Drosophila melanogaster: one gene and its partners. The protein of the gene in region 3 purifies or fractionates together with the protein of the main gene of each other region. This does not show direct contact. Each region holds a gene or a part of one and is shown on either strand. Other genes may lie near its edges. The genes, in order: Kap-alpha3, Mcad, wal and Gfat2.

Region 1 (6,422 bases), on a different chromosome or scaffold from region 3:
GATCTTGACTTTCGGTTTCTCCTGGTGTTGGATTCGCGCACGTTACGCTTGGGTGAAACCGACAATTCCTCCTTTTCATCATAAAAGCTGTTGTGCGCCCGTCTACGGCCGTTGGAAGCCTTCTCCCGGAGGTACGACTCCTCATCGGAGAGCGAGATATCGGAGAGATCTTGTTCCTGCCGTGACTTTGTGCTCGCTGATTCAGATCCTTTCAAGCGATCCGCTTCACGTTGCCCGTTGTAAAAGCTATTGTTGGAGCGGACGCGTTCCCTTTCATGCTCCTTTTCCCGTTCCCTTTCTCGTTCCCAGTCGCGATGCTTCTCCCTTTCATGTCGTTCGCGCTTTTCGGAATGACTGGAAGGCTCCACAGCGCTGCGCTTCCGGCTCTCAGACTTTTCTTTCTCCTTCTCGGAGGGAGCTTGTGCTGCCGTAAACTTATCTTTGGATTTGTCCCTATCCCTGTCCCTGTCCCGATCCTTCTCCTTTGATTTGTCCGTAACGCGGTCCCGATCTTTCTCCTTAGATTTGTCCCGGTCCCGATCCTTCTCCTTGTCTTTGACTCTGATGTCTTTATGTTTGTGCTTCTTACGTTTATGCTTGTGCTTGCCTTCCGCCTCCGAGTCGCTGCATTCGCCATCTGACTTGGTCGTCTTCTTTTTCTTGGCCTTCTTATCCTTCTTCTCCTTTTTCACCTTTTTCTTTTTCTTGAACAGATTGTCGTCTAGAAGTTCCTCTGGTGGAGCGGCATTGAATACGCCGAACAGCTCGGCAAGGATCTCGTTCGAGGACTTTACAGGCTTAATGTTCTTCTTGTCGTCCGCCGACGCGGAGCTCTCGCTCTCCCCCGACTCGTCATTGTTGCCCAGTTCATTGCTGTTGCTCCTCCGCATCAAAGTCACCATCTCCGCCTTGATCTTGGCATTCATGGCCCGGAGTTTGGCCTCCACCTCTGCGTCCGGTCGTTCGCTCTTTACCTTAATTGGCGGAATCTTGGTCAGTGCAAGTGGCTCCTGAACCGGAGGATTTGTCTGAGACCCCGCCACTTGAGGCGTTTCTACGCTCGCCCCTTTCTCTGTGTTCTCCGTCATTGCTCTCTCGCTGGGCGCGGATCGTCCTAGTGTCTATGCATGCTAATAGATTACCGCAACAGATCAGCGAATTTGTCGCTGTTCGCGATTAAGCGTTTTTCTGCACGTCTTGCTTGGACAGAAGTTTCAATAATAGCGATGACACTCGTAATGGTATCTACAGTTCGCAGGGCTCAAAGATATCGATACTTTGCTAGAGTTGTGTAATAGTACCGTCACGACAAGCGCCTGCTTGAAAAAACCTAAATAATAAGAATTGCTATAATGCTTTTTAAGACAAATGAAATATTTCCTAAATAATGTTCAACTGGTTCATAAGCTTACAACTCCAACTGAGTAAACTTAAAATTTCTAAATTTAAAAAATAAGTCGACATAAATTCAGATCTGACGATTGGTGCTTCAATCGACCCTGCCTATAAGTGGGCAGTCCCGAATTGCCAACCGCAGCCAACTTCACTCACGTCGTTGTCACTGATTGCAATTTTAATAAAAAGGAAAGAATTTTATCACTTTTAAAAGACGTAGAAAGTGTATGTGTCGTGGGAGAAACCCGATTTACTTGCTAAAAACGTAAGTATCCTCTACCGAGGACCAAGAGAAACACTTTTTTCGCCCGTTGCATTGCTAATTTTCATGTATTTTTTCGCCATTTCCTTTTTTCAATGCCTGCGCCATCGTGTTATGCTGCAACTGTGTTGGTCGATTCTACGTTATTTTTTCGTGGATGTGCGCTGGTGTGGGTGCGAATAATTTTTCCCATTGGCTGGTGTGCAATTGAAACAAATTATTAATTGTTCATCGAATACGCTAGGAGGCGTACGTCGCCAACATCGCATTCAATAGTTTTTAAAAACTCACTTTTTAACAGCCAATCGAAAAAGCAAACCCTTATACAAGGAAATCAGACAAAATGACGTCTATGGAGCAAAATCGTTTACAAAACTTCAAAAACAAAGGGAAAGACCAGGATGTGAGTAGTTAGAAGTTACCGCTGAAATGGGAAACATTATAATATTAATTAATTTGCAGGAAATGCGACGTCGGAGAAATGAAGTCACCGTTGAGCTGAGGAAGAACAAGCGCGAAGAGACCATTCTCAAGCGTCGCAATGTGCCCAATTTGGACTCGAACACAGATGAGGAGGAGCAGTTGTCCTCGTCCATTGACCTGAAGAAGCTGGCAAAGGCAGCCGCAGACGCCACCAAGCCGGAACAGCAACTGGCCGCTGTTCAGGCTGCCCGCAAGCTGCTGTCGTCGGACAAGAATCCACCCATCAACGATCTGATCCAAAGCGACATTCTGCCCATCCTGGTGGAGTGCCTCAAACAACACAATCACACAATGCTCCAGTTCGAGGCCGCCTGGGCCCTGACCAACATTGCCTCTGGCACATCGGCTCAGACCAACGAGGTACGTTCAGCTTTCCCTCTCAGCACTTTCTTTGTTTTAATGCAATATAATCCTGTATAGGTTGTTGCCGCCGGTGCCGTGCCGCTCTTCCTTCAACTTCTCAACTCGCCCGCTCCCAATGTTTGCGAACAAGCCGTGTGGGCCCTGGGCAACATCATAGGCGATGGTCCTTTGCTCCGCGATTTTGTCATTAAGCACGGAGTCGTGCAGCCACTTTTGTCGTTCATCAAGCCAGACATCCCCATCACATTCTTGCGCAATGTAACATGGGTTATTGTGAATTTGTGCCGCAACAAGGATCCGGCTCCCCCGACAGCCACCATTCATGAGATCCTGCCCGCACTCAATGTGCTCATTCATCACACCGACACGAACATCCTGGTGGACACGGTCTGGGCCATCAGCTATTTGACTGACGGTGGCAACGATCAGATCCAGATGGTCATTGAAAGTGGAGTTGTACCCAAGCTGATACCACTGCTGGGCAACAGCGAGGTCAAGGTACAGACAGCCGCACTGCGGGCTGTTGGCAATATTGTGACTGGATCGGATGAGCAGACACAGGTTGTGCTCAACTACGACGCGCTCTCCTACTTCCCGGGCCTGCTCTCGCATCCCAAGGAGAAGATCCGAAAGGAGGCGGTTTGGTTCCTTTCCAATATAACCGCTGGAAATCAATCGCAGGTGCAGGCCGTTATTAACGTGGGTCTCCTGCCCAAAATTATCGAGAACCTAAGCAAGGGCGAGTTCCAGACACAGAAGGAGGCTGCCTGGGCCATCAGCAATCTGACCATTAGCGGCAACCGCGAACAGGTCTTCACCTTGATCAAGGAGGGCGTCATTCCGCCATTCTGTGACCTCCTTTCATGCCAGGATACGCAAGTTATAAATGTAAGTATAATTTGCGTCTCTTCACATATTTGTTTTGAGTAACACATTCCCCTTTTTTTTAAAGGTTGTTTTGGATGGTCTGAACAATATGTTAAAAGTGGCCGATTCTCATGTTGAGGCGGTGGCCAACTGCATTGAGGAATGCGAGGGCCTGGCCAAGATCGAGCGTCTGCAGAGCCACGAAAACGTTGAAATCTACAAACTAGCTTATGAGATCATCGATCAATACTTCACTGATGAGGTGAGCTAACAGTTTAAGTCAACCGTTTGTTATTATTCTAAAACGTTTTTGATGCATCCTTTACAGGGCGAACAGACTAACATGGCACCGACCTCCGACGGCGCACAATACAATTTCGATCCACACGCCGATAGGCTAACGATGAACTCATTTAACTTTTAACGATTTAATCAGAAAGCAGCCGCGCAGTAGCAGTGAAGTGAAAACCAAACACGTGCAACACCACATAATTTGGCGTTTATTCGTACACAATCGCTTGTGTATGAACAAGCCCGACGAGCCGTCAACCAATTCACATAATAATAGCATTATATTTTGTCCACCACACAGCAGCAATTAGACAGCCGGGTTCGTTTTAGGGACGAGAATAGGAACTCTGGAGGATACACAACGGATAATCCGCTGCAGCCGTTTTAGCTTCTCTCAATTCTGTGTTAACAAAATTACAAAATTCAGACATACACACACTCTTGGGTGTGTGAATGTGCAATGCAAGGACTTCTCCGATTGAAGCGACTCTGCTATAGATCATCCAAAATATAAACACAGGAATGAGAAACAGATTTCAAAAAGAATGTAGACCTATTTGATTTATATGAAATTATTTAAATATTTACGCTTCTGATTTGTAATTGAAATTACATATGTATACATTTCTAACATGAAAACGATAAAAGCAAAAGGCAACTCATCATTTTGTTTCCAGGCAGATAAGTTAAGCGGAATTTTATAAGAACAAGTGTGTCGCGTTTCAAGACCAGGCATTCGAGTTGTCCGTCGGCCGAGCTGTTAATAATTAGCGTTTATTTCAGCTAGTGCGTCACTTGAGCACGTTTCCCATTAATGCGCAATTGCCCGTCTACCTGGCAGGGCAGCTGAAAAATCGGCTTTCACATGGCAACAGATCGAGTAAATATTTGTAAACAATCAGATCGAAAATCGAATTCGGATTGCAACAGAAGGGACTGGGCGTTTCCCTCAATTGAGGGATCAAATTGTATTAATGACTTATCTGCAAAGCATCAGTTTCGCTAGTGTTCTGTATACAGTATAGGATACTTTAAATCAGTTAGATTTAGTTGAGTGATGTGATGTATGTTTTACTTTTAAATCTTGAGGAGTGTGGGAATAAATAGCTCTTCATTTTACTTTTACATATTCGTTCTTTCATATAAAGAAAGTTTCGCCTGGCGGTTGTTTTTGGAACTACTCAGAATATTTACGTGTAACTTACCCATCATCTACATGGGCTTCTATAATTATTTATAGGACATTCCGAATTCTGTGATGAAAGTTAACTTTATGAAAGTGGTTCCAGCTCGTGCAGTACAAATCTTTTACTGAAATTTACCTAATTTTTCGAAAATAGTATACTTTGACTTATATATGCAGGCGGGACAACGTTTACCAACACTAGAATTTGAGATGGCAGATTGTCTAGCTGTAGTACCCCAGCTGTTGCGGTGCTAAAATTATTTTTATAATTGTGTAATTGTATGTGTTTTAATACGTCATTTCCTGTGAGATTTAATAAATATAAGATTTAGATATTAATTTTTTTGTATTAGTGAAAAATGGCGCATCACTGTTGTCGCGTGACTCCTAAAAAACTTGCATTTGCCTGCTATTTATAGAGATGCTGCACTTGTATTGGTAGCGATGCATTCGATTCAGACACATTTGCTTCCGTCAACATTTTGCTGCGGAAATTGCGGAAATTGGCACACTCTCCTCAAGGTCAAGGATGTTGTGCGATAGCTAATGAACCTGTGATCGTGCAAAAACCTGTTCCTAAAGATGAATGCATGATTTTTGCACTTTTTAGAAAGTCAAGTACGAGTTGTAGGTACAATTGTATAGGTATTTCCTTAACGTGTCAAATTAAACACGTTAGAAAATAGCGCGCTCAGCTGTTCGAGTTTGCGGCTGTGTGGGTGCTAGCTCTCTCTTTTGCTCTCTTTGTCTTTTTCGCTCTCTCACGAAGCTTTTTGGCTTTTGTTGTTTAGCGTTTCATAGTAGATTTTATTTTGTGATTGCCAGCCAACGAGTTTGGACGCATAAATTATCATCACTGCAACCCGTGGAATTTTTTCGCACAAATAGCAACAACAACAAAATGTCGTCCACAGCCGTTCAGCCACCGCCGCCCGTTCCCCCGCCGCCACCATCGGCCGTCCCTTCCGCCGGAAAGGGCATCCACTCCAAGCTGTACAACGGGATGATTGGCGCCGCCGACAAATTTGTGCCCGCCAAGCTGCGGCCACTGTGGATGCATCCAGCTGGTAAGCCTCACATAGACCACTATGCTACATAAAGAGCACATCTTTAGGTTCGGTTTGATTCCAGGTCCCAAGACGATATTCTTTTGGGCACCCGTCTTCAAATGGGTAAGTAGACAGAAAGCCAGACGGATGGGATTACATAACTCGGACAACGCACGACCTTCGCTGATTTTCATTATCGCACACATACTATAGTTCACCATAAATCCGAAACGACGGTAGACAAATCTGAGCGCAGGTGCCATTAAATGAAATTATTTGATTATTTCGAGCAACCTGCGCTTGATAACAACCGCATACGGTTGTGTTCGTGAGCGGATTGCCTTCTGTTGTGGAACCCTATGAAAAAAAGTTTCCCAAAAAAATCAAAAACTTTTGATTTATTTAGTTAGTTTGTTTGTTTCGATAGTAGGCATATAGATGCCTCATACTTATGTACATACATATATCAAGCCACAAATAAATAAAACAAAGAACAGCCAGTTGAGATCTCCCATAGCGGCACTAA
Region 2 (5,744 bases), on a different chromosome or scaffold from region 3:
AGTGGATTTGCGTTGAGTGAGCGCCTGGTTACGCTTTTCGAAGGTGGTACCTGCGAGCGATTTGTCGGAGTGCAGCTCGCTGGCTGCGGCTTGAACGATGCGCATATGTACAATATCAGCCAGCATTTGGCCAAAGCCAAACAACTACAGATGTTGGATATCAGTGATAATAGCAATTTAAGTGGAACTACTCTTGGATACATATTAGATGAACTACCTCAATTACGCGATCTTTTGGCCGTTAATTGTACAAATCTACTGGATGACATTCGTCTGCAAAAACTCGAACAACTAAAGCAGCTGCCCAGGCGCTTAGAATTAACAGTTGATGAGCAGGTGTTCTCCATGCCAGGAGCCCTGGAAACACTTCAGTCCATTTGGCAGCTGCAATTTGGAGACAAGGCCAAAATGTTGACCACATCAAATAGCCGGAAAATTGGAAGGCGGTACAAAGGTCTACTTAAGCTACTCGCTGATGGAAGCGATGCGGAATAGTGTAGTCTCATCATGTGTAAACCATTTCCTTGTGTTGTATGTCCCAGAGCATTTTTTATTGTTTGACAATTATATAGCAAATCTAAGTACAGTAAGTCTTATCGTTCAGTTGATAGCAGAACAGCGATTCGTTGAACCTAAGTAGAACAAACACTCAGCCCCCACAGGGCTTATCTTATCAATGGATGATAGCTAGCGAAATAATTTGCGATGGTCTAGACTCTACAATTTTGGGGGTAAGTGAGGGCAAGATTAGAGAAACTTGAAATATTAAGAATTAGTAAACATACTAACGCACTGACTGTTTGCTTACTTCTTCCTTCCTTTTATACACTTGAGGAATAAGTAATTCCTTAGAAATTACCAAGTGCCATTTATACAACATTTCCCTCAACAGACAAATCACAATCAATGATTTATATTTTCTTGTAATTATTTACTTATTGTACTTTATTAATCGGATTTGTGAATGTGTCTACAATGAGCATGACAACTGATGAGGTGAATGGAGATGAGGAATCCTAGTTAAAACTGACTTAGGCTTGACCCTTAGCAGCCTCGTACATGTTTCGGGAAATGATGAGGCGCTGGATCTGAGAAGTACCTTCGTAGATTTGGTAGATCTTGGCATCACGCATCAGCTTCTCCACGGGATACTCGCTGTTGAAGCCGTTGCCTCCAAAGATCTGGACGGCATCGGAGGCAATCTTGTTGGCCATATCGGCGGCATGGCACTTGGCAATGGAGGCATAGTAGCTGTTGCGGCGTCCCTGGTCGATTTCCCAGGCGGAGAGACGCCACGCCAGACGGGATGTCTCCACACCGATGGCCATATCAGCCAGCATGAACTGCACAGCCTGGTGGTAAGCGATGGGCACGCCAAAGGTCTTGCGTTCCAGCGCGTATTTAAGAGCCTCATCCAAGCAACGCTGGGCCAAACCCACAGCTCCGGCAGCAACTGGAGGACGCGTCTTATCAAAGGTGCCCATGGCAATTTTGAAACCGGCACCCTCGCCAATCAGCACATTTTCCTTGGGCACGCGCACATCCTCGAAGGTGATGCCACGCGTGTCGGAGGCGCGCTGTCCCATGTTCAACTCCTTGCGGCCGGGCGTTAGTCCGGGACTGTCGCGCTCCACAATGAACCCGGTGAAGGCCTTGCTGGGCGGGCACTTGGGATCCGGATTGGTGCGGGCCAGCACAAAGTACCAGTTCGCCACACCACCGTTGGTGATCCACATCTTCTGGCCGTTGATTACCCACTCATCACCCTTCTTCTCGGCGCGTGTCTTGATGCCGGACACATCGGATCCTGCTCCGGGCTCTGTAACACAATAGGCGGCGACAAGTGGCTCCTCCAGCAGGCGGCCCAGGTACTTTTTCTTCTGTTCCTTGTTACCGGACAGGATCACAGGAGTTTGCTATGAAAGAACGTGGCGTTTCGATCATCTTGCCGTAAATAGACATGACTTTAAACTTACGCCCAGACCACTAGCCTCTAAGGCGGTCATGATGCCAGTGCAGCCATAGGCCAACTCCTCGGCCGACAAGCAGGTGGTGAACACATCGAGATCCAGGCCACCAATATCAGCAGGAATGTGGTTGTTCATCAGGCCCAGTTCCCAGGCCTTCTTGATGATGGGCCACGGGTACTCGCCGCTCTTGTCGTACTGGGCGGCCACCGGGATGATCTCCTCACGGGTGAACTTACGTGCCAGTTCCTGCAGCTGCAGCTGATCCTCGGTGAGTGCGAAAGAGGTGCCATTGGGCGAAACGTGTGACACGGCGGCGTAGGCGCGACTTTGGGACACCAACTGGCGCAGGGCAGGCGCAGCAAGCTGGATTTTCGGATATTGGATATCGGATTTAAAGTCAACTGGTAAACAAGTGTTTATCGAAATGCAAAATGAAAATGTAGAAATAATCAGAACAACAACAAAGTTGACCGCGAATTAATCTTAACTACAAGCAACAAATAAAATGGGCCAACTACGTATGTATTTAATTAATACAACATCATGATCATAGACGAAGGTTTTTTTTATATTTACAAGGGACTTTGGATGTTTGAGGTTCATAACCAACCATCACATTCTATTTTTTTCATAAAACAGATAACGAATATGCCTGCCCATAAAGTTTGCATTCCGATTTAAATAGAGTGCACGATAAGCCGCCATTAGACGCCGCTAATAATACTTTCTCAGGGGGGGCAAAGTACAGATGATTGCTAACAGATAGGCAGCAACAAATTGTTTTCGAAACGGAACCCACTCGAATATATGTTTGTTGGTAGGTACATATGTATATGTATGTATGATCCTACGATCAACAGTTGCTGTCGTCACTAGCGTGATAGAACTTTGGACCTTTGGATATGATATGTCCCAGCGATGTGTTTTTCACTTTCTCTGCGTTGTAAATTGACTGATATGCTCACCTTGTTGAGGAACGCCATTTGAATGTGGGTTTATTTTCGTATTTTCCTGAGTTTTAACTAGGTCGCCTTGCTAACTCGTCGGTGGCTGCCAGCGAAATGATCCAAACGAGTTGCCGATGCGCCGGTATAGCGATGTTATATATGTACATACATATGTACATTGGTTCATCGCGATATGGCAGCGACGCTTGGACATTGGACCTTGTTGCGCTGGCAGTCGCAAAAGCTACAGAATCGTGGTGACGAACGAACTACAAGCATATGCACCTACAAATATATGCAGGAGGTTGAGATAAGGGAAGATTTCGCAGACATTTGTATGCGCTGTTGATGGAACTTTCCCAAAGCTTTTCGAAGAGTTAACAAATTTGTTTGTACCTCGCCTTAATTGTAATATAATGCTTATATAAATAAATTGTATTGTAAAATATTTTTAAAATACCAACTGTACATTTCATCCAGGTTTTGTCAAGTACATAGGCATATGTGTATGAAGAGACACACCCCCTTTTTTAAGATATCAATGTACCACACGAAATACCCTACGAAATAAGCTTAATAAAACATAGCTTTAACGTAATGCCCAGCAATCTACGTAAGGTAAAAGCTTTCAGTTCACAACGTAACGTATTGCTTCTGGGCAATAGGTATAAAATAATACAATCGGGTATATTAGGCTTGAAAATGTTCGTCGGCAGAGGTCATTGAGGGATAATTCATATTAAATAGTAATATACTATATTTTGGTTAGTTTAGAATAAAATGTAGAGACAATTAGATAATTATAGGTTTCATTCGCTTTAACTTTTTAACCCCATTTTTCCATATTCAAAACATTTAAAACATGATTTGATATGTTAAATAATAAAATAAGAACCAACAGGATAGTCCCTAGTCGTTAGACTTCGCTGCCACCTGTTAGGTGCTTAACAATCGGAGCATACTTTCCCGCTTGACACAAATAGACGGAACATGTTCCTCTGGCTGTTTTAAAAATAACAGATTGCAGCCCCGCCTCCCAGCGACAAAAAAATCTCCAGCGAAACGAATTGGAAATCCGTGACACAGTTGACAGGCAGATATAAAAAACAGAGCACTACGTGGCGCGGCACGAAGACATCATTAAATCAGCATCCGCAGCCATCCAAAGTCGTAATCAGCCGTTGAAGCGAGTGGTATCTCTTATCAGCCAGGCCAGGCGCATAAAACTGGGTCCGGTTAAAGCTCTTCCGCCACGACGAGGACGAACGCGCACAGCCGAGCTGGAGCCGAAGTGGTTCGGGTGGTGCGATGGCGGGTGGCGAGTCCTGTGGCGTCTAAGGCCCAACTGGGATAGCTGCTCCTAGTCAGTCATTTGACATTGCTCCTGCGAGAAGGTTGTCCACGGTCCGAGCCCAAATCCTCCGTCGCCCACAACTCGTCCGCAAGCCAGCCGTAGTGTGTGTTTTTTTGTGCTACCCACTCCCACTTTTGGGATACATATAAAAGTGCCACCCCCGCCTTCCCAAAAAAAAAAACCGCCTCATAGAGGAGTGAAATTTTAAACAAGTGTTACCTAAGCCCAAACCTCAAAGAAACCACAACAAAAAGGGAGCAGTAGTTGAAGGTTGCGGCAAAATGGCCCAGTTTGTGACCCACATCCAGCCAACGCTGATGGAGGCGTCCCAAGGTCATGTTCCTCACCACCACGGACATCAGGTGGGTGTGCAGCACTCGTCGCATCTGCCCCACAGCGGCCACAACATGCCCTCGCCGCCAACCCACAATCACCATCATGCCCACGGACATGGTCATCATACCAGCAGCGGTGGTCATCATGGAGGAGCAGGTGGCCATTCACAGAAGCAGGCAGCGCATCATAGCACCACCTCCGGCCACGCCGCCAAGGGACAGCACCACAGCCCACCGTCGAGGATCCATTCACCGCCAACGGAACACCATCCGGATCATGTCGGTCACTACGAGTACTTCCAGCATCAGCACGAGCAGATCTTCCACCATGAAGGAGCAAACGGTGGTGCCAGCCACAAGCAACAGACCCACCACCATCCCAACAAGCACGAGCACTGCCCCACAGGACACCAGAGTGCGGTGAGTTGTCCTGCCTAGGATTACATCATTGGATTGGGATCTGGGGAATGGGTTGGTTCCCTTTAATACAGATGGTCACGTGATCAGAACTCCAGGGGACAAAGTTAGAGGTCACACCCAATTGCCTAAGGAGTGGGTTGCAGTCCATAAAGTTTAAATGACTTTAACAAGTTTTCACAATCCTACGATATCCATGTTTATCCACTTAAAGGTTTAAAGCTGTAAGTCAGCCAACGTTGGGTATGTATCTGTTGGGTTATAATTAGGCCTGGCATATCCCTTTTTCATCTTCTAGAAAGTACATGCTGAAGTACATTTTAAGGTCACATATCAACTGGTTAAAGTAACTTAAGTTTTTAATTCAATTTGATATCAAAGGACTTTTAGTTTTTCTATGGGATGTATCATCCTTTCTTCACTTAACTACCGAATACAATAACGTATAATCACGATAACCCCGTGTCAACTCTTGGTCAATTTGGCCATGATAACATCTTTAAGCTTTACCCAACAGTTGGATTCCCATATGAATCATCCCTGAAAGTGACAATGAATCACAACTTTTCGGGCCATAATCGCGACCATAATCTTGGAGCAAAAGTGTAACACATCTCATGCCATCCCAGCAGTGACGCAATAGTAATCCTTGGACCGACTGTGTCCAATGCCAAGTGAGTCATCGGCAGTGCGCTTCCGTTGTCCTTGCGGGGGCATTAAC
Region 3 (5,796 bases):
TTTAATTAAGCCCTAGACGGCATCAGAATCTGCTAAGGCATTCTGGCCAACATTTTTGCATATTGTAAGCCAAATTGGTTCGCACATACATTAGCGCAAGATGAAAGTGCCTGAGAAGCATAGGTTTTATACGCGCCCACTTTATCGAAGGAATGTGCAGCACGCAGACGATTGGATACCCTAGGAACTTTAGCATAATTAAAATGGATATTTTCATAATTTCAGAGTTTTCTTAGATGAACCTTGATACTATGAACTTTAAGATCCAGTTTCTTCTCTGCATTTATGCATTGGAATTTTAGACATATAAATGAATAGATGCTTGCCGATGGCCTCGCATACCTTTGTGCATAATTGGAAATGCCTTTTCCCCACTCACGGCATGACTAAGCTCCGTGCTCCGTAAGTGATTTGTTTGCCCGGCTCCCGACTGGCAGACAGCCTCAAGCTCGGGCTCAACTCAAAGGCCAAAAAAACTGACTGGCTGACTGGCTGGCTGACTGATTGAGTGTGTGCGCGCCCACATCGGTGCGCCAACTGGCTGTTAAAGGGTTAAATAGAGTATTTCTCTTTTTTGAGGCACTTGGCTGTGAGCACATTTCACCGCTTTGGCCATGTTTGCTGTGTGCTTGCCGGCTGATAGGAATCTTTGGAGGCAGTGCAGCCAGGGATTAGGATACGTGGTAATTGCGGGTGCCCCCTTTGATACGATTTGTTTGCATATTTTGCGGACCTAATTGCGTGGACAGATATGCATCTGAATCTGCATTGTCGACGGGAAAGCGTTTCCCACGGCAGCGTGCGCCCAAAGATCATGATGTGTGGGATGAATTGTCAGCACTCACCATTATCCGCGTTCCTTTCAAGGAAGTCAGTCACGAAAGCACAGAATCTGCAATGACATAGGAAAGAGATGGATCATTACATGAATTGGTAATATCTTGGATTGAATAACAAATTAGAATTTCTTTTCATTTCATTCCAAAAACAAAGCAAAATTAAAATAATGCATATTGCAAAACCACATTTATGCGAGCATTAAAACGATCCAACTAACGATATTAATAATATTATTAATATTGTAATTATTAGGAACATTGCCTACAATATAGTTCTTATAATAAGAAGATGAAGACTTATCCAAACCATGTTCCAAAATTACAACATTTTCGAACCAGAGCTAATAAATTTTCCTATTAATAGTTGCTTAAATTCATAATTACCTTTGGGCTAGCTTATGCGAGGGTGTCTGTTTTCCGGGGATCATCAGCTTCTGGTGGAGCACATCGTGGTTGGTTATGGCACTTGGGTGGTAGTATCGATTCGTGTTGGTCAAATCGATGATGAGACCCATATCGGGTACGATCTGCAGAAGGGATTCGGGCGCCAGCCGAAGATTCTCCTTCACTTTGGCGTTGACATGCTGCAAAAGATAAAAAAAAAGAAGGGAGCTGAGCAAATATACGAGGGCATTACAATGGGCGGCCATAGATTGCTCAATTTATGCAAAATGCCCGGAGGGCTGGCAATTAATAAAGGCCGTGGATCCGTGGCGTTATTTAATTAAGCAAAAACAATTTAATTTAATATTCATGTGGGGTCCATGTTCCAGTTGCCACTTTTATGCATAATTACAATGCACAAATTTCGTCGTCGTTCGTTGTTATTTATATTTTTAGAGGGCCGCTCAGTCGGTGGTCCAGATCCTGGGTTTTCAACATCCATCAATTGGCGGCTCTCCTGTCAACCGGTTTCTTGGATCTCGGATGGAGTGTGGTACGCCACTGGGCGGGCGGAGGATCATCGGGAACTCACCTGATTCAGCGGCACCTTAAAGGCTATGAAACGAGTGCCAGGAACACGATCTCCAATCGGTTTGTACTTCAGCCATCTGCAATTGGTACAAAAAGTAACATGAAAAAATGACCAGCATAAACAACACGGGTTTCTTTGGGATATTCTCCTAAACTGCACTCACCTGTCTGGTATGTCCTTGACCATTTTGTCTGTTCGCCAAACCTTTTACCGAAATTTAAAAATAAAATTTCGAAGTTCTTCAAAATTGTTGACAATGTTTTGCAAAGAAATAATTCTTATTCCAGTGTTGCCAGATTACTTTAAGAGATTACTCAACATATGCTGCTGAGTTGACACTGTTAGCTAAACTGTGACTGGTCACGATTATTTTTAAAACTCTCGCTCATTCGCTCTTTAACTGAAGTAATAACATTTATAATCTATATTTAATGTTTCTATTTAATAATAAATGTAATTTTTTTAATACTTCATTCTTCATTAAGCTCTTTTACAAATTTATGACTAGTAATATTAATCGGCTTGCATATTTTTTTAAATGGATAATAAAATTAAATTAAATAAGTCCATTAATCAATAATTCCAAGATTATATTTTATATATGTTCATTTTTTCACTTAAGTTCCTGCTGCTTAAAGTTCACATAGATCTGTTGCTCCATCTGTTAAGTAACAGCTGTTGTGTATTGGCTAGGAGGTACCAAAAAACGGCAAACGCTTAAATCAGCGGAAACCTTTGGACTTTCTGTGATTTTACAGCGAAGGTAAGAGTTTTAATTAAATATTAATGGACTTAAATTAATCAAACAACAATTTTCCCTCGCGTGGATAGCTCCAATAACCATCCAACATCCAAAATGTTCGCCAGCAACACGCGTAATCTTATGCGCAGCAGCATTGTGAGTGGAAATTTCTTAAAAAGATAAAAAAAAAGCGCAGGCGGTGATCGCTAAAAATTAAATAACAAAATATCAATTTTCCCACTTGCAGTTGCAGCGATGCAAGAGCACTTTGGTGGTGGCTGAGCACAACAATGAGGTACTCAATCCGATCACCCTGAACACCATCTCTGCGGCCAAGAAGATCGGTGGTGACGTCACAGTTCTGGTGGCAGGCACAAAATGCGGACCCGTAAGTCCCCCAAGAAGTCTCACATTAGGGTGGTTCCATTCGCAGGGATTTCGAATCATCAACGAATCTAATCAAATAGGCTGAACATGCATCCTAAGACCTTTGCGATCTGGTAGAAATCAAACCGGCACAGGATTATATAAACATATCTCATTAGAAAACAAGACTTTTGAGTTGTTGGTAATACTGCATCTAAGAGATAGGAATTGTTAACCTTGATTATATACTTCTGACTATAAGTACACTTTAAAAAGGGTCCAATCTATTTTCCACTTAACTCTTGCTACATTCCAGTTTTCCAATTTTCATACTAGATTAAAACTAACTAAAAATTTAGAAAAAAATGTTTTGATTTTGGATTGGTGAACCCTTACTTAGATACAATATATAGTAACCATATTTCAAAAATGCCGAGCAAAGTGATTTCAATAGATGACCATTTTAAAATACCAAGACATTTAAATTATAAAGCATCGAACCACCCAAGAGCGACTCCCACTGATCATAAGTATTTGGTGCGATAGATAATCTTACATAATCACTCTCTTGTTTTCCAGGCTTCCGAGGCTCTTTCCAAGGTGGATGGCGTGACCAAGGTTCTGGTGGCCGAAAATGCCGCCTTCAACGGATTTACCGCGGAGTCGCTGACCCCATTGGTCCTGGCCGCCCAGTCTCAGTTCAAGTTCACCCACATCCTGGCCGGAGCTTCGGCTTTCGGCAAAAACGTGCTGCCACGCGTGGCGGCCAAGCTGGATGTGTCGCCCATTTCGGAGATCATCGATGTTAAGTCGGACGACACCTTTGTGCGCACTATCTACGCCGGAAATGCTATCCTCACCCTGAAATCCAAGGACGCCGTTAAGGTGATCACCGTAAGGAGCACCAATTTCCCACCGGCAGCCACCAGCGGTGGAAGTGGAGCCGTGGAGCAGGCACCAGCTGGTGACTTCGCCAGCAGCCTGTCCGAATTTGTATCCCAGGAGCTGACCAAGTCCGATCGCCCCGAGCTGGCCGGAGCCAAGGTTATTGTGTCCGGAGGACGGGGCCTGAAGTCCGGAGATAACTTCAAGCTGCTGTATGATCTGGCCGATAAGTTTGGTGCCGCTGTGGGTGCCTCTCGTGCTGCCGTGGATGCTGGATTTGTGCCCAATGATCTGCAGATCGGTCAGACCGGCAAGATTGTGGCTCCCGAGCTGTACATCGCTGTCGGAATCTCAGGCGCCATCCAGCACTTGGCTGGCATGAAGGACTCCAAGACGATTGTGGCCATCAACAAGGATCCCGAAGCGCCCATCTTCCAGGTCGCCGATATTGGCATCGTGGCAGATCTTTTCAAGGCCGTGCCCGAACTAACCGGAAAGTTGTAAGGCGAGATTGTCACTTGCTGTAGTATAAAGATTGTGTACCGATGAATTGATAACTGTTGCATTTATTTGAATTTTGACATAAGTCCGTGGAAGATTTTCCCTTAAATTTTGTAATAAAACAAGCCGAAGACCTATTCTATGTGAAAATTGTAGTCTTATCAGTTGAGTGCAACTGTTTAAATCAGCAAAATATTTAAAAAAGGCCCAGGGCTAGCAATAACCAAAATTCAACTAGGATAAACTGTTTACTGGCATTGCAGATTGCACCTAGTCTAGGATTTGGTTTCCTTATCAGTTTCCCATCGTATATTTATTTTTCAAGAAGCTTTTATGAGAGCTTTATTAATTAAATTAGTTATACTAGAAAGCTGATCAAGCCAAAACAAATTGTAGCTAAAAGCATCAAAAAGCTTTCTCGCCAATTGCGAACTTTTTTAAAAAGTGTGAAAATGTGAAAACTGTGTACAAAAAAAGATTATAGATCAAATCAATAGGATTTTTACGCTTAATAAACAAAATGTTTAGGAATTCGTAAATCGTTGGTATATTTTTGGTACAATCAAGTTAAATATAAATCGCAGAATCATAAAAACTAGAATTAGGCCAAAAACTACGCCTATAACCAAAGTGGTCCACTCTAAAGGATTCAGGCTGTTGGTAGTGGGTAAAACGTGTGTGTTGATGCCACTCTAAAATGGAAAATCATTGAAATGAAACCTCGACAATTATGAAATGATCGGAGAAACTCACCCAACCACCATTCTCGTTAATCCACGGAACCAGCTCATCTTCGATCACCTCGGAAACGCTCTCCATCAACTTGGGCAAGTATTCCGGATGTCCTTGGCGTACACAATCAACGGACAGCCCACCGGCGATGGCGAACAGAGAGATCACCTTGCTCCACGTAATCTCCACCCGGAAGAGCTCGCGACCAACGGCTCCCAAAAGCAAGCTCACAGCATCCGGAGTATGGAACTCACCACCCGGATTCCGGCAAATCTGACGAGCTACTCCGTTGTATATCCGGGGATGCATGCGCTCCAGTTCATCGCCCAGCTTGGGCAAAGGTGTGTAAAATGATTAATATAATAAAATAAAGCGTTATTTTTTGCTTACCACTTGGACCGCTGGAAACACATCGCGCACAATGCCCATGGAGGTGGAGCCCAGTATGCTACGTATGCGCTGCAGTCCCAGCTTTTTGTTGAACAAACCAGATCTTCTGAGGCGTCTCTTGATATAATGACCGCACAGGCAACGACCCTTCGGTTTTTTTATGATTTTTGGAATCAGGCGATATTATATGTTTGTGCAAGGAATTCCTCGTCTACCAGCTCACCTGAGAAATGATATCCTGCGCTGGAATCTGTGCCGCCTTCCAGCCAATCGTGTAGGAGAGTTTCCTGGTGACGGCATCGCTGACATTACTCAACCTACGCCTCGTGGTCTCCTTGGGACCACCACCAACCTCCAGTAGTGAT
Region 4 (6,311 bases), on a different chromosome or scaffold from region 3:
AATACAACATGGATACTGCAACGAGAAAATATGACGCTATTAATCTGTTGATCTACTTAACGTGTTCAAAGCTAACTTACTTGTCCAAATGTGGCGCAGGCTGTGTTGTACTACAATGAGAAACAGAAGAAGAGAAAAATATTCTTTACACTTTGGCTAACTGGTTGTTGGGCTGCAGTAGGCAGTTGTAGTTGAAATCGGTGTTGTTGTTGTTGTTTCAGTTGTTGTTGTTGTTATTGTTGTCGGTTGTGGCGGAGACAATGTCATGTGCAACAAAGTTTAAAGGTTTCTAGGTGTGTAGGCAGAGGTGGCACACAGGATTTTGGCAAGCCACCAACCGCAAGAGCCGCTGCCGCTGGCCATGGCCAGCACATTGTCATCTGGCAGATCCATCGTGAGGATCCAGCCCAAGATTCCCGCAAAGATCCACAAGGAGCCGACAGCGAGAGAGAGAGAGATTGAGACACACACTGAGACCCAGGCCCAGGGACCAAAGACCATGGAGCTGAAAGACCTGCATCGTCTTTCGCTTGGTTTTTGGACCCACAGACCAAATGCACTAGGGATGCTGGGATGGCGGTGCATCGGCCGATGGAGGACAGATTGCGATGCATCTGTCCGCTGGTCAGTGGGACGCTAGCTCACACTTTAACGCCCACGGGCTAAGGCTAAATGGCAATAGATTAATGAACAACAACAGTGGTTTAAGTATAGATCAAAAAGAAGACGAAGAGAGTTTAGCTGTAATATCGGTGCCTGAAACAGAACTGAAACTAAATTTACGGCCACGTTAGTCCGGACCAGCCGGTTACGGTCCTCCGTCGAGAGCACTTACATAAAGAACTGCGAGCCATTTGTGTTCTTGCCCCGGTTGGCCATCGACAGCAGGAAGGGACGATCGTGCTTCTTTTCGAAGCTCTCATCTGGAAAGAGGAATCGGATTGTTTAAACCAAATTCACTTTAAATGTTACTTTAAAGCCCAAGAGAGATGAGCAACTCAAGTTATCTTCTAGATAACTTTTTAATGCGCATGTAATTGGATTTCCCAAAGCCGCTTCTATTTGCATATTTGTCCCATTTTCCACCCAAACGTATAATTAGCAATATGTAGATGTATGATGTGCACCATTCCCTTATCTTTCTAATGGAAATATTTGCCAAAATGTAAATTTAAATTGAGTCGCTTGAGTAAACATTTATTTTTGACATTTAAATGGGGCATTTGTACACTTTGGCTGGCATATCAAAAGCGTTTTAATTTTTTTCGACAAAGATTAAACTTAAGTAGATTATTGTAGTGCAGTTTAGATGTAATTGGCTGGAAGTTTTTAAATCTCCAAATGTGGGTGTCTGTATTTACAGTGTTTTTATTACATTTCTCCCCCTACTGACTCTTTATTAATTGCACTTTAAGTACCCTGTATATTCCCTTTCGTTTTCTGTTCTTCTTATCAGATAACCACTGTATTGATTTTTTCCCACACAAACAGCAGCACACACACACAAGCGTGTATGTATGCATGCAGGCATCGAATCGGAAGCCGGAAGAACTCACCCTCGAACGTCCCGCCGTAGATGGACTCGCCGCCGGTGCCGTTGCCCGCAGAGAAGTCGCCCGCCTGGACCATGAAGTCCTTGACCACCCGGTGGAATATCACACCCTTGTACTGCAGCTTCTTGCCGGTGATTAGGCCAAATCCCTTTTCGCCCGTGCAGAGTGCGCGGAAATTTTCGGCCGTTTTGGGCGCCACATCGTTGAAGAGCTCGAAGACAATGCGGCCCATGCCCAGGCCGCCCAGGGAAATGTCAAAGAAGCACCGCGGTCGCGTGGCACCCGCGTCGCGTTTGTTTACCGTCATTATATGCGCCGATTTCTGCCAATAAATGCTGTTTAATACGTATTTCACGCCGTTTTCGAGTTGCACAATGTCGGCGTTGCCAGCTCTACTCAGAACTAGGGATGTCAAAAACATACAGTTAGAAATATCGATGTGCAATATGCTTAGCATATTTTCGGGTATCGATATATTAATTTTAATATATATATTTTCTTAAATTTGTTAATACATACATATGTACGCTCAAATAAACGGTAAACTTTGAGCTATATATAGTCAAAATACACCATTGATTACTCTCAGCAACCAATAATCATTTTATGCTTTTTGGTATAACTTCCAAAACCTTTAGAACATGGGTTGAAAATATTATCTTCAATGCTCATATTTTTGGGAAAAACAGAATGTCGTTTAAACCAACTATGAAATGAGATCTGGCCTTTATGGTCATATTATATTAAGCTTTTTCAGACAATTTACACAGTTAACATCTTTGTATATAGCTTTAAAAGTTTATTATATTATTCAATACATAGTAAAAAAATAATTTATTAAATTACCGTTCCATCCCTGGCTGCAATACGGTCACACAAAGCCAATGTTTACATGGCAGCTCGCGTGTGGCTGTAGCTGTGTGCGTGAGCGAGAGCGCAAGAGCGGCGCGTGTGTGCGTGCGAGCGGGAGAGCAGGGCGAAGACGTGTTCTTTTCGCCGAAAAAGCAAATAATTGGGTTGGTTTATCAGAGAAAAACAAAAAAAATTCCAGCCAGTGTCGCGATAAAAACACGACAATCGCATTGCAGCCGCCTCAGAAGTGTAAGATCAGCCTCAGCTGACCGGAAAGTTAACATTGCGACGTGGAAAACCACGAATCACCAGCAAATTTCAGCAAAAGCAATCGCATTTCAGAATGTGTGGCATATTCGCGTACCTAAACTACTTGACGCCCAAGTCGCGACAGGAGGTCCTGGATCTCCTGTTGCAGGGACTGAAGCGGCTGGAGTACCGCGGCTACGACTCCACGGGCATAGCCATCGATGCGCTGAACTCTGGCGAGGCACAGTCCATAATGCTGGTGAAGCGCACCGGGAAGGTGAAGGTGCTGGAGGATGCGGTGGCGGAGGTGTGTCGCGGCCAGGACTACTCGCTGCCCATCGACACCCACATAGGCATAGCACACACGCGCTGGGCCACCCACGGTGTGCCCTCCGAGGTCAACTCGCATCCGCAGCGATCCGATGAGGATAATAGCTTTGTGGTGGTGCACAATGGCATTATAACCAACTACAAGGATGTGAAGACGCTGCTGGAGAAGCGCGGATATGTATTTGAGTCCGACACGGACACGGAGGTGATTGCCAAGCTGGTACACCACCTGTGGCAGCAGCATCCTGGCTACACTTTCGGCGAGCTCGTGGAGCAGGCCATTCAGCAGCTGGAGGGCGCCTTCGCCATCGCCTTCAAGTCGAAGCACTTCCCGGGCGAGTGCGTGGCCTCCAGGCGAGGCTCACCGCTTCTGGTGGGCATCAAGGCCAAGACCAAGCTGGCCACCGATCACATACCCATCCTGTACGCCAAGGCCCATCGGCCACATGGTCAGCCGCAGCAGCAGGCCTATCAACTATTGCCGCCCGGCGATTGCAACGCCGAGTTTCAACCGCTGGAGCGCAAGGAAGTGGAGTACTTCTTCGCCTCGGACGCATCGGCTGTTATAGAGCACACGAATCGGGTGATTTACCTGGAAGATGACGACGTGGCCGCCGTCAAGAGCGATGGCACGCTCAGCATTCATCGCCTAAACAAATCATCCGATGATCCGCACGCCCGCGAGATCATCACGCTGAAAATGGAGATCCAGCAGATCATGAAGGGCAACTACGACTACTTTATGCTGAAGGAGATCTTCGAGCAGCCGGAATCCGTGGTCAACACCATGCGCGGCAGGATGAGGTTCGATACGCAGACCGTGGTTCTGGGTGGCATCAAGGAGTACATACCGGAGATCAAGCGCTGCCGCCGCTTGATGCTAATTGCGTGCGGCACATCCTACCACAGTGCGGTGGCCACCAGGCAGCTGCTGGAGGAACTGACCGAACTGCCCGTTATGGTGGAACTGGCCTCCGATTTTCTGGACAGAAACACGCCCATTTTCCGGGACGACGTGTGCTTCTTCATCTCCCAATCGGGCGAGACAGCGGACACCCTGATGGCGCTCAGATACTGCAAGCAGCGAGGAGCGCTCATCGTGGGCGTTACCAACACGGTGGGCAGCAGCATCTGCCGCGAGTCGCACTGTGGCGTCCACATCAACGCTGGACCCGAGATCGGAGTGGCCTCCACGAAGGCCTACACCTCCCAGTTCATTTCGCTGGTTATGTTCGCCTTGGTCATGTCGGAGGATCGTCTCTCGCTGCAACAGCGCCGCTTGGAGATCATCGATGGCCTATCGCAGCTGGACGAGCACATTAGGACTGTCCTCAAGCTGAACTCGCAGGTGCAGCAGCTTGCCAAGGAGTTGTACGAGCACAAGTCGCTGCTCATTATGGGCAGGGGCTTCAACTTCGCCACCTGTTTGGAGGGCGCACTGGTAATCCATTTGATAATTTGAGCTATAATTTAATCGAATCTCATTTATGCATCGTAATGCATGCATGGGAACGTAATGATGGAAAATAACCGATGTCAACAATTCACTTAACTTGTTTATTTGCCAAGTGCACTTAAATTAATTATTATGTTTGTCCCACGCTTCATGAGCTGAATTTAATCAATTAACTTGCTCATTGCAGAAAGTCAAGGAGCTGACGTACATGCACAGCGAAGGAATCCTGGCTGGAGAACTGAAACACGGACCACTGGCCCTGGTGGACAAGGAGATGCCCGTGCTGATGATCGTGCTGCGGGATCCGGTGTACACCAAGTGCATGAATGCACTGCAGCAGGTGACGTCCCGCAAGGGCAGACCGATCCTAATCTGCGAGGAGGGCGACAACGAGACCATGTCCTTCTCCACGCGTTCGCTGCAGATCCCGAGGACCGTGGACTGCCTGCAGGGCGTGCTCACGGTGATTCCGCTCCAGCTGCTGTCCTACCACATCGCCGTGCTCCGCGGCTGCGACGTGGACTGCCCCAGGAACCTGGCCAAGTCGGTGACCGTGGAGTAGGCGCCCCAACTATCTGGCTAACTGGCTCGCACCGTCTCAAGAATTCCATTTTAGTATCTGCCTGAGAAAAACAAAACAAACCCTAGCACTTAAGTTAAAATTTTCTGGTATTTTGTCGGATCAAAATCCGAACCCTTAACCCATTTGTGCTCCTTCTGGCTGAAGCCACATATGTTTAACCCCTACATTTGTAGCTGTACTGACCCTTTGTGTTGTGGACCCACTACTTTTTGTGAATGTGCAATTGAAATATAATTATTTCCAGTTTTTCTTTAAAAGTGTTTTGCTGCTTTCAATTAAAAATGGATTGGAAAATGTTTAACCAGTAAATTTGTTTGAAAACGGGAAAAACCAAACAAAGATCTATATGTACCTCACTTTACAAAAAATGCTTATCTGACATTAAACATTTGTTTCAAATGTTTAAAAAACGAGGGCCACGTCACGTTATTGCTTACGTTATGTTAATCACGTTGTAAATTTTAGAAAAAGAAAAATTACATATATATTTAATTCTGATAAAACTAAATAAAAATAAATTCTGATAAAAATAAATGATATTCCGAGCACTTAAGTAGTGTGAAATCGATAAGCCGCATAAATTTGAATGTCCTATTTTCAATTTCAAATCAAGTGGTAAATGGGGAAAAAATAAGTTTGTTCTCGAAAAGTAATTCTTTCTGGAAGATATTTCAAAATCATATTTAAAAACAACATTAAATAAATTAAATCAGTTGCGAGCCGGTTGGGACATCTCTATTAACCGTAGCTATCACATCGGTCGATATCTATCGCAACGCAACGCAAACGAATTGAACAACAACCCTGCTCTTTTTCTTTTGGACCCGTAGAACCACATGTCTGGTAACCGATTTTGATTTTCGTTTCGGCGGTATAATGCTCCAATTAATTGACTAATTGCGGTTAATTGACAAGACAAGTGAACGGCGCAAGTACGGTGCAACCAATAACGCAGCGAGTGTGTGTGCAATTGCGAAAAAACCCGATAAATAATATTCGTAACGTTCTGCCCAGCAGCGCGTGAGTGAGTGCGAGCGAGAGGCAGTGATTCGAGGTGCGTAGTGGTGCGAAAGTGTGTGTGCAAGGAAACCCGCAAAAGCAAAAGCAAAGCAACAATAACAACACACGCACGCACACACACACTTGTGTACGTGTTAACACGCGGAGCGGAAAGTGCGTAGTGAACATACGAAACGTACGAAACAAGAAGTGGGAGAGATAGCGGAATAAAATACAATTCTTGTTTCCATTTCAATCTCCTCTGGTGCGTATTCAAATCAATCTGAAC

What was found.
Region 1: the proteins of wal (region 3) and Kap-alpha3 purify together in Drosophila melanogaster (affinity purification with mass spectrometry, with the first as the bait; one large-scale study listed by BioGRID). This does not show direct contact.
Region 2: the proteins of wal (region 3) and Mcad purify together in Drosophila melanogaster (affinity purification with mass spectrometry, with the first as the bait; one large-scale study listed by BioGRID). This does not show direct contact.
Region 4: the proteins of wal (region 3) and Gfat2 purify together in Drosophila melanogaster (affinity purification with mass spectrometry, with the first as the bait; one large-scale study listed by BioGRID). This does not show direct contact.

The regions. Positions count from the first base shown.
Region 1 is NT_033777.3:9,572,846-9,579,267, reverse strand, and holds Kap-alpha3 (karyopherin alpha3), read left to right. Parts: upstream 1-1,534; 5' UTR 1,535-1,620; exon of another isoform or gene 1,621-1,660; intron 1,661-1,794; exon of another isoform or gene 1,795-1,958; 5' UTR 1,959-2,000; coding exon 2,001-2,060; intron 2,061-2,119; coding exon 2,120-2,500; intron 2,501-2,560; coding exon 2,561-3,391; intron 3,392-3,455; coding exon 3,456-3,632; intron 3,633-3,698; coding exon 3,699-3,794; 3' UTR 3,795-4,784; downstream 4,785-6,422. Other genes in the region: Son RNA binding protein, read right to left, coding at 1-1,088; CG9399 (uncharacterized protein), read left to right, coding at 5,749-5,914, 5,979-6,019.
Region 2 is NT_037436.4:7,716,649-7,722,392, reverse strand, and holds Mcad (Medium-chain acyl-CoA dehydrogenase), read right to left. Parts: upstream 3,044-5,744; 5' UTR 2,954-3,043; coding exon 2,936-2,953; intron 2,495-2,935; exon of another isoform or gene 2,334-2,494; coding exon 1,977-2,333; exon of another isoform or gene 1,917-1,976; coding exon 1,032-1,916; 3' UTR 921-1,031; downstream 1-920. Other genes in the region: CG7457 (uncharacterized protein), read left to right, coding at 1-495.
Region 3 is NT_033778.4:11,687,595-11,693,390, reverse strand, and holds wal (walrus), read left to right. Parts: upstream 1-2,527; 5' UTR 2,528-2,578; intron 2,579-2,646; 5' UTR 2,647-2,671; coding exon 2,672-2,713; intron 2,714-2,804; coding exon 2,805-2,945; intron 2,946-3,502; coding exon 3,503-4,312; 3' UTR 4,313-4,822; downstream 4,823-5,796. Other genes in the region: CG13197 (uncharacterized protein), read right to left, coding at 846-892, 1,224-1,423, 1,816-1,891, 1,979-2,001; buffy, read right to left, coding at 4,834-5,001, 5,063-5,371, 5,432-5,578, 5,655-5,796.
Region 4 is NT_033777.3:28,335,984-28,342,294, reverse strand, and holds Gfat2 (Glutamine:fructose-6-phosphate aminotransferase 2), read left to right. Parts: upstream 1-2,529; 5' UTR 2,530-2,748; coding exon 2,749-4,425; intron 4,426-4,627; coding exon 4,628-5,002; 3' UTR 5,003-5,276; downstream 5,277-6,311. Other genes in the region: Moca-cyp, read right to left, coding at 1-15, 81-110, 836-923, 1,557-1,860.